Neurospora crassa OR74A: one gene and its partner. The protein of the gene in region 2 interacts with the protein of the main gene of each other region in a biochemical or structural test. Links are inferred from orthologs where the notes say so. Each region holds a gene or a part of one and is shown on either strand. Other genes may lie near its edges.

Region 1 (11,215 bases), on a different chromosome or scaffold from region 2:
GCACCATGCTGGCTGGCCCTGGCAGTAGGCAACCATGTGATCGTTAAAGTGCTCGGTGTTCTTTGCAGTTGAACCAATCACCTCAAAGAAGGTCTCGGAAGTCTGGTGCCCGAACGTGAAGGGGTTGTCGATGGTGGTTGTGGGGGACTGGTAGGCTTTGGTCTTGAGCCACTTGTGTAGGTTGACCATGGCGGGAAGGCAAATGTTCCGGTAGAACTGGTAAGAGCCGGCAATGGGAGAGGTGGTAAGGGCTTTGGAGAAGTTGTTGGGGCGGTACTCGTCTTCGCCGGTTTGGATAATGTGGTTCATGGAGGCCAGGTGGCGGAGGATGCGCCGGAGGAGACCCGGGTCGAAGGAGATGGCTTCGGCAAGACGGGCGGTGGTTTTGGGAGAGCCGTTGTCCTTGGCCATTTCGTGGAAGAGGTTGGTTTCGATGCCGATAACGATGGTGTAGAAATTGGAGGTCTGCAATGTCGGTTAGTGGTGTTTTGACTGAAATAGGACACGTGGTGGCCATACCTCGGCACCGATATGTCTCAGCAGAGTCTCTCTTGGGGTCTCAAGGGCTGCGATCAAAGATCGAGCCTTGGACAGCAAGGAGATACGGGCATTGCGGTCTTGAGCAAAGTCAATGTCGCCCCAGTTGTACGAGGCAATGTCATCGATAAGGCCAGAAACACGACCCAGGTCGCATGGACGAGCGTTGATGGAGATGTCGTTGGGGTCGAAGGATGAGGATGATCTTCTGTGCTTGGCGTTGGGTACATCGTTACCCACGAAGTCATGGTAAAGCTCCTGAATGGAGGGGGCCATGATGCGTTGCAGAATGTGGAATGCTGCTAGAAGGGAACGATGAGGTTGATGATGGTGTCCAGAAGCTGTTGAGGAGAGAAAGACAGCGGTCTTATATCTTTTCCTGGCACACGTCTCGTCATTCTCTTGTTCCCTTTCGACTTTCCATATCACGACCTTGCCCTTCAAGCTGCAAGCTGACGATATCACGCCCCAACAGCTACTAGTGTCATGTCATGTGTGTCTGTGATGAGTCCAAAGGCTGAGCCCTTTGATGGTGTCCACAATGTCGACCATGATCATCCAGAATCCCGCCTGCTCTGATTTGCGACTTTACAGAAGCTAGTGGATGTGAACAACGCTCCATCTACATCGCGATGTCCTCGTGCCGAGCATTATCCTAGATGGGTGGACATGACAACTGAAGCCAGAGACTGACCAGCATCGCCAAGCTGAAGATGGGTTGATCCAGGAAAAGCGGGGGCGAGTGAGGTTAGAGCGCTTGCCAGGACCATACACCCATAGGCATCAACGAGTGTGACAGACGCACTGCCTTATCGACCGTACAATGGCGGAATCGGCTAGCCCCGCACAAAAGAAGAAACGAGGGTGGCCATGAGGCACGCCTTGAGGCTCATCACCTTGACGCTATTCGCGGCAGCCTCGGCACGTAGGCTCGGACACAAGCCCGTAGTGTCGTTGACTATGACGGCGATGTTGATGAAGGAAGGGAGCTTTCGAGTTTGACAGCTGAGGACCCCTTGATTCAGTGGAGTCCTGTAAAGACAATGTCTCTCATTGTTGCCAATTACATACCCTGAGCGTGCGGGTAGCTGGGGTTCACTTCGGGATGTAATGTAGCCGTTCACATTCCCTGATGGAAAACCGAACACGATGGAATCCCAGTGCTCCTTGCAGGACCCACGCAGGCTATCCCATGCCACGCTGAATATACGCTTCCCAGTTCCCACGACGGAGACGTGTGACGAAGAAGTGATGAGAACGTCCTTGGGCGAGGCGGAAGTCGATCGACATGGTCTAATTCGAAAATTTCCATGTCGTATGTTCCATCGGTTTACCGCTTCGGGATAAGGAATATGGAGCACACGCTAGCAAATGCCGAAGATCTCCAAAAGTGGAAGCGATTGGGTGTCATTGGAGTTTTAGTCTTCAGCTCTCAGGGATATATCACACATGTCCCATAAACTAGGCTAGGTTGCTGCTTCTCCATCAACAACACCCATACCAGACGGAAGACTATCCAAAGTCAGTGATTGGAGGGAGAGATGATCAGGCAGACACGCTAGCTGCCTGTGTGTGATTGCCCCAGGGATAGGAAGAACTCTCGAATGGGACTAAACTTGCCCAAGTTGAGGTGTAGTTGATATCAACCTCGGAGGACTCCCATACCCCGCGATACACCGCCGCCGACGTCATTGCCACCTCTAACGCCGATATCGATGCCGGCAGACAACACAGGCAACTCGATATCCATCAAGTGTCTTCCTCCCAACTGCGTAACAAACACCATTTGATCCAGTTCCGTGCCGTTTTGTCGCAAGTCATTTTTCATGCACGAGCACAACCTCTGCACTGATATCTTGCCGTCTCCTCTAGCGTAGGCGCTGTCCAGAATTCTGCAAAGGGTTTGGGTCATCTGCGTTGCTCCCGTGATGCCCCCATTCGAGCTGCTGTTGGGTGTATCTGTTCGGGGCAAGGGAACAGGAACGTAGGCGCCCAAGAGTTGCTTAACGGAGGGTGACGATGCCAGGCCCGGGTCGACCATCAGTTGATCTTCTGCTTCTGTGCTCGTATTCGACCTCATGGAGTGATGACAGTCAAGGATGAGCAAGACGTCACTCTCACTCGACATGATGGGCTCGCGAATGTCCTCCCAGAAGAAATGACTCGAGCCAATCGCATTCGCAAACATCATCCTTCCTCCAACCATGTCCGCTCCCCCAGCATAGTAAATGACTAGCAACTTCTTCCTCCCCTGGCCCGTATCGGAGTCCGCGAGAAACTTGGCCAGCAGGGTCTCCACAGCCGCAGTAGGATAGTCCTCGGGAATCGGTCGGCATTGGACTCGATATCCGAGCCGTTTGAAGCAGTTTCGAACGGAGTCCGTGGAGGTATTGATCCCTTGCCGACTTGAACTGAGTTTGATTGGCCCTTGTTCCTTGGCGGTTATTGTTGTGGTTGTCGTAGCCCAGCTGAGGATCAAGACGTTGACTTCTTCGGTTAGCTGTGCATGTCGACTGCGCTGAGAGGGCGAGAAGATGGAGCTGAACCTGGTTTTTGGTTCTGGTGGTTCGGTCTCGGGTTCAGGTCGAGCAGTACTGAAAGCTAGTGATGCTGGATAAGCCGAGTAAGTCTCGTATAGCTGCTGAGAGTGTGAGAGGAGTGTTGCATGATCTCTGGACCAGTCTTGTGAGTATCTTCTTTCTGTCCGTGCTTTAGCATCTGTATCAAGCCCCTTAGCAGCCGCAGACGTATAGAGGTTGACGGGGCTCTTCAGCTGTGGTTGCAATGATAAACGGGCTCGCTGTGCTTTCGGAGGCGCGACGGTCCTCGACCAGCTCGAATTTTGCGGTGACGACGCCACAGTCTCAATCTCTATATCCCCATCACCATCGGCATCACGGCGAAGATGATGGTCTCTGAACCACGGAGAATCGGGACTGAGGGCTTCGGTGGCGGTGATAGGGCTTTGACTGTTACGGATGTCCGTTAGCCGTTTTGTCTTGGGATCAGATGTCAGGTTGGCCGAACTTACACCTCAAGCTCCTGCAAAGCACCAATCACCATCTCCATGTCTCCGTCCCACTCGAGTCCAACGGGGAGCGACGTCGCTTGGATGTCATGATGATCAGCGCCCCTGGGCGTAGCTTCACTGTCTCCTCTTCCATCCATGCTCCTTGCCGGCTTCGAAGGCGAAGCGTGTACACGAGCGTTGTCAACAGCTCCAGCCGAGAAGTCATGGCGGAGGTTGGCCAAATGGCGATGCCATAGCTGAGTGAAGTCCGTATTGCTGTTCATCTTGGACTTTTGACTGACTGAATGCGGGCCCAGATACGATCTTCTCTGACACAAAGCTTTGTTTGGCCGAGTCAGCTGATAGTGTCTTTGTTTCGCTTGTCAAGCCATTCTGATGTCAAGAGACTACTGATCTAACATTGCTGTTGTTTGTGGAGTGGTAGAAGAAGCTGAGACGTCAGGAAGGGGGGTGATGGCAAAGATAGATCAGGTTCGCCGCCACGCTGCCCACCTACATGGCGTTTCAGCCCAGAGATCTGATCGGGGGGAGGGGCAGGCGGATACCAGATTGCAGAAGGTCGTCACGTCAAGCAAGGACATGTGTTCTTGGCCGCGGGTTGATGTGGGTGGTCAAGGGCTGGCATGCTCTCGGCTAAAGCCTATCAGCCCAGATGAAATTGTGGTAACACTGCAGCTTGTATGTCTCGGAGATGTTGGAGTTTGGGACCGAACATGACCGGGACCACTTCTGACTGGTTCGACCTCACTATACTCACCTTCTTGTGTTGTACCTTGTCTGACATACATACATAACTCGGATGTTATAGAGAACCACCACGGACTTGACCTGGCAGCTGGCCGGTTTTAATGGCAAGATACCATGGCAAGCTGGTTGATGGATGTCACCGAAGGCTGAGGAAATTGGACGAGGGCGATTGACAGTTCAGTTTGGCTGATGTGGGAGGGAACACTGCATTCGAGGAACCGAGGGAGCGACGACAATTGTGTGGCACTTGATAAAGAGTGCCGACAGCGGGAAGAGGGCATCAGCTCGAGAAAATTGTGCTTCGTCAATACACACAGAATTGTTCAATGGATGGAAGAAGCATCACCCATTTTGCAACGGCTTGTGAGGAAGGAGCATCTTGCTGGAGGATTTCTCAAATCAAAATGAATGAAAATAGTTGGGAGAGAATTGCAAAAGGTCTCATTCGGCACACGAAAGGCCTGGAATCACTAAAAGACATAGTAGGCAACTTCTACCAGGAGGCTGAATCCTTGGTAGGGCAAGTCGGGTCGTCGTACGAACAAGGCAGAGTCGAATGGCGATGCTTCGTTACAGCAAGTGTATTGCTTTCGGCGATACACCCCAGAGGTTGAATTTCTGTGGCCAAGTGCAGGTGGTATGCAGTTATCCAATCTATATCCCACTAGCGAAGCCATTAAAGAGGGCCCCACTTGTGCGCGCCAGCTTCCTGGTCTTGGCGCGCTTCAGCTTTTCTGGCGCGTGTTTTATCGTGTTTTCTTGACAGGGAGGACTCAGTTCCCCTCCCCTCGTCACAGTTTCCCCTCCTTCCACTCACTAACCAGTCAGTCCTTGGTCCCTTGGGTTCTCATATCTCTACTTGAATCTTGACCTCGACAACTTCCAATCTCCACCAACTCTCCTTGATACCCAGGTGGACCACAGCAACACCATAACACAATGGCAACACCAATGGCACACTCCAGCGATGCTGGCTTCATGATGTCGGACGGAATCGCTTCGCGAGGAGGAGCTACTCCCAGGGCGCGAAACGGTCATCCCAGTTCCTCTTCAGCTCGTCCACGAGGCCCCCCCTCAGAAAGCCTCGGAGCGGCCAGCGAAGACGAGGGCGAGGAAGGGTTCGCTGATGATCAGGTCCCCGTCCGCTCGAGGCCTCGGAACATTGCCGACATCCCCAGGGTTCAGGATAGGATTGGTGTCATGGTCCAGAGAGCCTTTGAGGCCTTCATTGACGGGTATGAAGATCCAAGAAACCAGCCAAACATGTACTACTTGGTGTACTTGCTGACACCGGCGCCAGCTACGTCGAAACACCCACCTCGTCCGGCCAACCAACCTCGAGCGCAGTCACGACAGACAAGTACTACGTCGCCCAGATCCACGGCATGAGGACCTACTCGTTATCCACCTTCTACGTCGACTACAAGCACGTCGCCTCATGGCAAGACGGCACCCTCGCCGAGGCCATCACCAACTCGTACTACCGCTTCCTTCCCTTCCTCACAGCCGCCCTCCATAGCCGAATCGCCGCCCACGAACCCCAATACTTTAACGAACATCGCCAGCCCACGGCATCCAGCGCCCACTCCACGACAGCCGCCAGCACACGAGGCGCCAACGCGAGCCAGTCCGACTTTGGCATCAAGAACCCCAACCAACAAACCGACAAGCTCTTTGCCATTGCCTTCTACAACCTGCCCCTCGTCTCGCGCGTGCGCTCCATGCGCGCCCGCAACGTCGGCCAGCTTCTTGCCATTAGCGGCACCGTCACACGCACCTCCGAGGTCCGGCCCGAGCTGGCTCTGGCCACCTTTGTCTGCCAGGCCTGCTACGCCGTCGTTCCCAATGTCGAGCAGACGTTCCGATACACCGAACCGACGCAGTGTCCCAACTTGACGTGCCAGAACCGCACTTCGTGGCAGCTGGACATCAGGCAGAGCACCTTTGTGGACTGGCAAAAGGTGCGCGTGCAGGAAAACAGTAGCGAGATTCCCACAGGAAGCATGCCCAGGACAATGGATGTGATTTTGCGCGGCGAACTGGTGGATCGCGCCAAGGCCGGCGAAAAGTGTATCTTTACGGGTGCGCTGATCGTGGTGCCGGATGTCAGTCAATTGGGTCTGCCGGGTGTGCGGAACGTGTCGGTGCGTGATGATCGGGGTGCGGATGCCGGTGGCAGTGGTGTTTCTGGTCTCAAGGCCCTGGGTGTGCGCGATCTTACCTACCGTTTGGCGTTCCTGGCTTGCATGGTCACGCCTGATGTGTCGGCAATCGGTGCTTCTGGCGATGCCCTTCTGATGGACATTGTTGGTACCCTCAACAGCAGCGCGGCGGCCGAAACAGCCGAGACCATCAAGGAAGCCCAGGAAGCTCTGCTGAGCTCCTACACCTCTGCCGAGATGGAAGACCTCCGTGCCATGGTGCACAGCGACCACATCTACGCACGCCTTGTCCAGTCCTTGGCACCCACAGTCTACGGTCACGAAGTCGTCAAGAAGGGTATCCTCTTGCAGCTTTTGTCTGGTGTCTCCAAAACCACCGCCGAAGGCATGGCACTCCGTGGCGACATCAACATCTGCATCGTCGGCGACCCCTCGACGTCCAAATCCCAATTTCTCAAGTACGTCGTCAACTTTGCTCCCCGGGCAGTCTACACCTCCGGCAAGGCCTCTTCCGCCGCTGGTCTTACGGCTGCCGTGGTCAAGGATGAAGAAACCGGTGAATTCACCATTGAAGCCGGTGCCCTCATGCTCGCTGACAACGGCATCTGCTGCATCGACGAGTTCGACAAGATGGACATTGCCGATCAGGTTGCCATCCACGAAGCCATGGAACAGCAGACCATTTCCATTGCCAAGGCCGGTATTCAGGCCACGCTTAATGCCAGAACCTCGATTCTAGCAGCTGCCAACCCGGTCGGAGGTCGCTACAACCGCAAGACCACCCTGCGCGCCAACATCAACATGTCGGCGCCCATCATGTCGCGTTTCGATCTGTTCTTCGTCATCCTCGACGAGTGCAACGAGCAGGTCGACCGCCACTTGGCCGAACACATTGTCGGCCTGCACCAAAACCGGGACCAAGCCATCGAGCCCGAGTTTTCCACCGAGCAACTGCAGCGGTACATTCGTTTCGCTCGCACTTTCCGCCCCGAGTTCACCGACGAAGCCAAGGAAGTCCTCGTGCAGCGCTACAAGGACCTGCGCGCCGACGACGCCCAGGGCGGCATCGGCAAGAACAGCTACCGAATCACCGTCAGACAGCTGGAGAGTATGATCCGTCTGTCTGAAGCCATTGCCAAGGCCAACTGCGTCGAGGAAATCACGCCCGATTTTGTTAATGAGGCGTTCCACCTTTTGCGGCAGTCGATCATTTCCGTCGAACACGACGACGTCGAAGTAGACGACGAGGAAGACGCTCCCGAACCACCCGCCGACTCCCCCGAGGCCTTGCAAGCCGCCGCCGCCGCTGCTTCGCGCGTGCCCGAGGCCGATATGGACGGAGATGGCGACGTCGACATGGGTGGTGAAGCTGCCCGACAGCCGTCTGCGGCACCCTCGCAAGCGCATCGCGAGAAGCAGACGATTTCGTACGACAAGTACATTTCCATTGTGAACCTGATCGTCTCCAAGGTGGCCGAAGACGAGACGCAAGGCTCAGGGGAAGGGATCGAAGGCGAGCAGCTGGTGGAGTGGTACCTGGAGCAGAAGGAGGAGGAGATGGCAACGGAAGAGGAGTATCACGAGGAGAGGAGGTTGGTGGGCAAGGTTTTGAAGAGGATGGTCAAGGTATGTTTCTGCCCCCTTTTTCTTCCTGCAGATTGAGCGACTGCTAATGAAATTGAAAAAAAACAGGACAACATCCTCATGGCGATCCGCGGACAAGGAATTGTTGGCGAAGAAGGTACCGTGGGAGAAGGTACCTCGGCAAGGGCAGAGGGCAACATTGTCTATGTGTTGCATCCTAATTGCGCGGTGGAGGAGTTCTAATGTGTTGTTTGAGTGGATGGCAAAAAAAAGGAAAGGGTACGAAAAGTGTCGCATGGGATTTGGATTGGATCTTGATTAGAGCGAGCGAGAGACCTGGCTGGCTGGCTGGCGTTTTGGAGTTGTGTTGATAGGCTGGACGGGAAAGATATCACGGTCTTGTGTGAATACAATAGAGGGTTGGTTACAATGTATTGCGTCGATGTAACGCATCAACTATCGACATGGGCTAGCATCTCGTGATGGAGTGAGTACCCCGTAAACAAACACCCCTTAACGCCCTGTCATAGTTCATAATCATGTCCTGGTCGTGAAACCTTGGTCGCTCATCCCAGTCCCATTCTATTTGCCCTTTGAAAGTCGTAAAAGCAGTATCCATCAAAATTGGGATTAATCAACGCCGTATCGTAACAGTCGTGAAACTCGTCATCGTAGTCGTAGTCAAAAAGGGACCGAAGTTAAACAAAGTTGGTATACTCGCAATTAACCTACCAAAACAATTAGCACTGCCTACTAAAATAAACCATGGTATCTATATCCCTCTCCTGAGAAAGATCACTCATCATCAATCGACATACCCTTCATCAACCTCTCCATCTCCCTTTCTCTTTTGCTCCCCGCCGTTGTCCCCGGCTCAACCACCGGCACACCCCCAATCGCCTCCAATCTCCTCCTGAGTTCCTCCGCCTCCCTCTCTTGTTCTCGTTCCCTCTCCCTGTCCCTCTCTCTCTCTTCCTCCTCCTTCTCCTCCTTGGCTTGCTTCTCCTTCTCCTGCTCCGCCAACATCTCTTCCAGTTCCTCATCAATCTCCTCCTCATCCACCAATCCACCAGCAGCAGTCGTGCCCGCCTCGGCCAGAATGGTATTAACCTCATCCACCTCGGCCATCTGCTCTCTGAGTTTGGAAGTAAGGTTCTCGACCCTATCAACACCACCGACTTGCTCGTTGAGCGACTCGAGCACCTTGCTGCTGGTTTCCATGATTTTCATCATGGCTACGCTGTCGCTGGCTTGTTGGATCTGGGACGCGACGGCTTCTAGTTGCGTTAAGCTTGCGTAGCGGCCCTCGAGACTCTGCTCGGCGAGTTTCTTTTGTTTGAGAGCCGCCAAGGCTGCGATTCGGTTATTGGACTGCACGGCTTGGCGGGCGGCTTTGTCGAGTTCGGTGATGCGGCCCGCTAGGGCGTGAGTTTGGTGCGTCAGGGAGGAGATGAGTTCCTTGATGGAAGCGACTGTTGTGTCTTCGGGCGTTATGCTTTGTTGCTCATCAGAGGGAGTCTTGATCTTAAAGGTGGAGCCGTCGTAGAGGATGAGGTCCTTGTCGCGCGAGAGAAAGACGAGTAACACGTCGAGATCGGTTTCACTGAGGAGTTTGCCCTCGCTGCCTTGCTCCAGCTTGACCTGCTCGTTGTACGTATGGAGAAAGTGCGCTTTGGACCAGGTACGTTCGAAGCGGCTGTCTGTTAGGGCGGATGCGGTGGTTGCGGCGAACTGCTTGCCGGCTTCTTGGACGTTGGCGACCACCACGTATTGTCCCTTTGGTAGCCCGTTCCCCCTCAGCCAATCTGCTACACCTAGTTGTTTCAAGGCCCAGCCGGCCACACCGCCAGCTACAGCCCACGGTGATGGTAGCCATGGCTGGTAGTATATGCTCGTTGGGGATGTGAGGAAGTCATGCAGCGGTACAAGGTCCTTGGAGGCCAGTGCTTCCCTAATCACTGTGCCCAGGGCTAACGGCCGGCCGTACTTTTTGGACTCGAGAGCGCGGAGGAGGGATTCATCGGAATTGAGGACGAGGAGGTTGGGCGTTGAACCTTTTGGGGCGGGGGCCAAGCCGGAGCGGGCGAGGTGGGCGAGGGCAGAACGCCAGGCGGAGATATTGGCCTGGTAGCCATCGGGGTTGAGAGTGCGGAGGGTGGTGAAATCGGAGTATAGGGCTGGGAGGCGGGCTCTGTGGAAAAGGAGGTTAGCTGGGAACACCCAAGATGAAGCGAGGCGGCATCAGTCGAATGGGCAAAGACGCACTTCCTGAAGCTGGGCTCGTGTTGGACTAGGTAGTCGACGAGTGATTGTTGGTTGTTCATGATGTTGGTGTCTCGGAGTTTCTGGTAGTGCTACGCGGGAATCGAAAGCGAAATTAGTGTAGGTGGGACAAAACAGATGATGGAGTCGCGAGCACGCGGTCGGTCGACAATGGTGAGCGATGGGCCGGCTGGGAACCTTTGTGGCTTCGTTGCGACAACAAGGCCAAAACAACAGGTCAAAGAAGCAGCACTTCTTGCATGCTACCAGTCAAGCAGGCTTGGATTGGCTGTCGCGCGTGTTGTCGCGAATGAATGAAGGCGCAAAGATGTGGCTGGGCGCAAAACAGCCTACCATACATAGCCTGGTGGTGGTGGTGATGACATGCACATGCAGAAAGAAAACAAATCGAGGGTGTGTCGTCACTGTGGTGATGGAGTTACAGTGGGCTTTCCTTATCTTATCAGTTAGTTATAGACGAGGACCCCTCCCGTCATGTTGATCTAGCGCCCAGCTGGGACGGGGGGACTGCGTTGATGAGCTACCCGGACATCCTCGGTTTATTTCCTTCTTTTTTTTTCGTGTGTGTGTGTTTTGTCTCAGCGCAATGGACTCTTAATGATGATTTCGGGAGGTTTGAAACTCAACAGACGCATATGGGAATCCATATACTTGTAGGAACTGATTGCAGTGATGACACCCAAACACCATCACCCAGACGACGGGAATGGGTGTAGTGGTGGGGCAGAAAGAAGGCGGTGGTGATTTCTAGACACTTTGAAGACCAGCGAGGTTCCCGAATTCTCCACTTTTCAGCAGCTCTTCCCCATTTTTCAGCAGCTCCAGTGCGTGCTTTGAATGCCAAGACCGAGCACCAACAGCCCAATGGCGG
Region 2 (4,210 bases):
AACCCAAATTTGGGACGCCCGGCGGCAAAATTGTCCACGTCAACGCGTGTCAATGGTGAGCACGGCAGCGAGGCATTCGAGCGAGTCGAAAACGGGGCAAAAGGGTAAGGCTGGGACTGGAGCTAGAGGATCCTATGACCGTTCGTGATGCCGGGGCCGCGCCTGTTAGACTTGTTGATGGGGTTGGAGAGACCGATCAAGGGGAAGAAAGGCATATATACTGCTGCAATAACTTATAATCGTCATTGATGTTGTACTTGTCATTGTCGTCTTTCTCAACTTCTCTTATTCTTTCATTCGTTCTCTCTCGGGCTGGTTTCCGACCGCTGTTATTTTCTTTCTAGGCGTAGCATACACCCATCTCCGCATCGGCCCTCGCTTGCTAGACTCACCTGTTTCTGCGAGTACAAGCCCAATCAGGAGCCATGCGTCATCCGCTCTCTCTCCGCTTCTTCGCCAACTTCACTATTACCATTCTCCTTGCCTGCAACATAGTCTCTGCCTTTCATGTTGAAGATCTCCTTTACACCTTGCGATCGCTGAGTAAGTCTCGAGTACCAAGCTCAAGATACCGGAAGCTCTAAGCACTGACGACCCCCTCCCTCATCACAGAAGATGCGCCATCCGGTAGCGCGGTTCTCAAAGCCCGCAGCTCGAACTTCACCGCTCCTGCTTCCGCTCCGGCTTCCAATGGCACTGTTGGCTCCTCCCATCCTGACTCGACGGACAAAAAGGAAGGGGGGCTTGGCCTAGGTGGTCTGTTGCATAACCTCTTCGGCCGCCATGATACGTCCACCGCCATTACTCTCAATATCCGGGCCTCAAATAGCACCGTAACCCCTGCTGGTGTTTCCAACGGCACTATCCTTGGCGGTGCCTCCCATCCAGACGCGGCAACCAAAGGAGACCACGGATCCCTTGGACTTGGCGATCTCCTTCACAAGATCTTCAATCACCACAACACGCCCACCATCCCTGGTCCTCTCGCTGGCCGCAGCTCGAATAGTACTGTCCTTCCCGCTGCCGCATCCAACGGCACTGTGCCCACCGGCTCTTCCCACCCGGATGCAGCAACAGAAAAGGGACAGGGGCTCGGACTGGGTAGTCTTTTGAGCAAGATCTTTGGCCGTTCTGAACCTGTGCCTGTGTCTGTCGAGCCTGAAGATGTTGACGAGGTTGACGGCGAGGTTGGTATGCTTATGAGTCTCAACCGCCGTGCCAAAAAGGACGGGGAGAATAGGCTGAGCCGTGAGGAGAGGAGGAAAAATCGGGAGAAGAGGCGTGTGAGAAGGGCCATGTCTGCTGCAACTGAGTCTAAGAAGGAGGAGAGGCATGTTGATCGCTCCAGAGTGTCCCGCGGGTGAGGGTGGTGGCTAGTCGTCGGCCAAGCCAATTTGAGCTTCGGCTATCTTGTTAAATATTCCATAGACCGTGATGGACGAAATAGTGGTATACCCAAATGAAGGATCCGATGTCGCTCGCTAGTCACCCACCAATTGACGAAGTCCGAGTTAACAGAGAGTGCCGAACCTCATGTCCTCTTAATATCTCATGAGTCTTCCTCATTATTAGGCCAGATGGTCTGCTGTGCCGCTGACAGCACAACTCTGTGAAGATCAGCGATGCGTAGGATACTCATCCGGCGATAGCAGTCCAAGTCCGCCATACTTCCAGGGGAGGGTGACACAACTAAACCCCCAAGAATCCTGTCTCCTTCGTGGTATCCCGATGCTCTCGAGCCGTGATAATGACTGATCCACAGCTTCGTCATGGTAAATGAACTTGGGAGGTCGCCGGTGGCCTGTTGTTATATACTGCATCGAGCGCAGTCCGAGAATCATGGAGGATGCTTGAACCGAAGCGCTGGTTCGTTGCGAGGTAAAGACCGATCGGGCGCCAGCGGTAGCAACAACGCTCCAACAGTACCACTCCACTCACCTCTTCTTGACATTCTCCATCCACTCCTTGCTCGCCTTCGTCCCATCATGTGCACTCCTAAACAGCTTCCTCTCCCACTCATCCAACCCTCTCAAAAAGTCCTCACCAGCGCCTCCCACGCCCAAATTGCTGGCATTATCGTCCTTCGTCGCCTTCCCCTTGCCCTTTCCTCCGGCTCCTCCGCCATCTCGACCATGATACGAACTTCCGCCCCCACCCACCTTCCTAGCATGCAACGCAATCTCCGCCGCCCTCGAGACAAACGTTTTCCTTAACACTGCGCTCAGCTCCGGCTCCTCTGACAACTCCATCATGTGCGTGGCGAGGGCGTAGAAGTGGGCGCTCTGATCGCGCAGCGGCACGGAGCGCGGGTCGGCTTTCAAAGCTTGGACAACGTCGTTACCCAGTGCCGGGGGCAGGTCGAAGGTGATGAAGGATTTGCTGGACTGTGATGGGTCGTCCATGTCGACGGCGCCCGTATTAGCGATGGCGAGCATTTCAGCCAGCCAGATGGGGAGAGCGACGCGCGAGCCGGACTTAAGGGTGTGCCCCGGTTGGTTGTCGAGATAGCCAAGGTCGGGGACGTCGATTTGAAAGGTACAAGGAATTTTCTGGGGAGGATCGTCGGGTTAGTTGGTGTTTTGGCGTTGGGTGATGATATGGTGGGGGAGGGAGATGGAGGGTACCTCTGCGTCAGTCAGGATCGCATCGATATCGTAATATGACATGGTGGTGATTTTGGTAGCTTCAATTGGACCAGCCTGGCGTTTGGAGATGAGTTGGACAGTGTTGAGTTGGACAACTGACCCAAACCAAGTTTTCGCCAGGATTTCGAGATCAATCAAGGTTCTGGGGAGACGCGCTCTGGAAGTGGGAGACGCGACAGAGGAAGAGCGCCGCCATGCCAAGAGACCGCAATTAACACTGTGGCTTACTCACCACTCAGAGACGGCTCCTTGTTCCACTTTCAGCCACACGAGCCATAGAGGTACCCACCTCTTCCCCTCGGCGGGGTGGGGCTATGACGGAATTAGTTGGAACGGTTTCCATGGAGCTTCCATCATCATCCGAGCTTATTAGATAAGTAAATGGAAAGAGACATTTCCGATAGTCGCAATCAGTCGGCCAATTCACTTACTCTGAGGTAGCCGCCGTCCCATTGATCATCTAATTTTCCTCTTCTCGCACTTCAAGACCTAACCACTTCACCTAATTACTAGTCTTTCTCTCGATAAACAAGCCGTCACAATGTCCGCATCCCTCTTCCGCGCTACTCCGGTCGCCCGCAGCGCTCTGCGCGCCGCCAGCGCCGTTAAGCCCGCCGCTACCTTTGTCCGCGGCAAGGCCACTCTTCCCGACCTTCAGTGTAAGTTCTTTCCTCCAACATTCGCTCGCTTTGCAATGCCCGCTCCTCATTTCAGTCTATCCTCCCTCCGCTTCGGCTTTGAGGAAAAACCCCCCAAGCTAACTCACTCTCCTTTCCCTAGACGACTACGGCGCTCTTGAGCCCTACATCTCCTCCAAGATCATGGAGCTCCACCACTCCAAGCACCATCAGACCTACGTCAACGGCCTCAATTCGGCCCTGACCACCATTGCCGAGGCCGAGTCCAAGGGTGACTTCACCAAGGCCGCCTCGGTCGCCCCTCTCCTCAACTTCCACGGCGGCGGCCACCTCAACCACACCTTGTTCTGGGAGAACCTGGCCCCCGCCTCGCGCGAGGGTGGCGGTTCACCCGATGGTGCTCTCGGCAAGGCCATCACGACCGAGTTTGGTTCTTTCGAGAGCTTCGTCAAGCAGATGAATGCTGCGCTGGCCGGCATCCAGGGCTCGGGTTGGGCGTGGTTGGCCAAGGATAAGGCTGCGAACGGCAAGCTCGCGCTGATTACCCGTGCCAACCAGGACCCTGTTACTGGTAACTATGTGCCCCTGTTGGGCATTGACGCGTGGGAGCATGCGTACTACTTGCAGTATGAGAACAGGAAGGCAGAGTACTTTGAGGCGATCTGGAACGTGATTAACTGGAAGACTGTTGCCAAGAGGTTTGAGGCTTAAGTTGTATATACCTTGGGGTGTAGTAGCAGGGGCGCTTTAATTGACTAATGTGTTGCTGCTGTGCAGAAAGCTTGTGATTGTTTGGTGGTAGTGTTGTATGTGATATTACTTGCGGTTACGAGAAGGTCACGAAGCGTCATGTCAACGGTGCAGGAGGGTGACGTTGACGTTAGAGCGCGCAGCACGTTCTTGTCCAAGCATGGGTTCACATTGACA

The links.
Region 1: the proteins of NCU09561 (region 2) and NCU05194 form a complex in vitro, tested with the Saccharomyces cerevisiae proteins (2 studies listed by BioGRID). The link is inferred for Neurospora crassa OR74A from reciprocal best matches to the Saccharomyces cerevisiae genes PSF3 and MCM6.

Annotation. Positions count from the first base shown.
Region 1 is NC_026504.1:5,793,650-5,804,864, reverse strand, and holds NCU05194 (DNA replication licensing factor mcm6), read left to right. Parts: upstream 1-5,068; 5' UTR 5,069-5,254; coding exon 5,255-5,550; intron 5,551-5,615; coding exon 5,616-8,103; intron 8,104-8,169; coding exon 8,170-8,304; 3' UTR 8,305-8,585; downstream 8,586-11,215. Other genes in the region: NCU05192 (O-methyltransferase), read right to left, coding at 1-465, 520-813; NCU05193 (hypothetical protein), read right to left, coding at 2,180-3,506, 3,569-3,831; NCU05195 (hypothetical protein), read right to left, coding at 8,857-10,252, 10,327-10,385. UniProt on the Saccharomyces cerevisiae protein: Acts as a component of the MCM2-7 complex (MCM complex) which is the putative replicative helicase essential for 'once per cell cycle' DNA replication initiation and elongation in eukaryotic cells.
Region 2 is NC_026507.1:995,840-1,000,049, forward strand, and holds NCU09561 (DNA replication complex GINS protein psf-3), read right to left. Parts: upstream 2,801-4,210; 5' UTR 2,667-2,800; coding exon 2,625-2,666; intron 2,550-2,624; coding exon 1,935-2,549; 3' UTR 1,365-1,934; coding exon of another isoform or gene 613-1,364; 3' UTR 544-612; coding exon of another isoform or gene 426-543; 3' UTR 227-425; downstream 1-226. Other genes in the region: NCU09562 (hypothetical protein), read left to right, coding at 426-543, 613-1,364; NCU09560 (superoxide dismutase), read left to right, coding at 3,027-3,082, 3,159-3,304, 3,426-3,994. UniProt on the Saccharomyces cerevisiae protein: Functions as part of the GINS complex which plays an essential role in the initiation of DNA replication by binding to DNA replication origins and facilitating the assembly of the DNA replication machinery.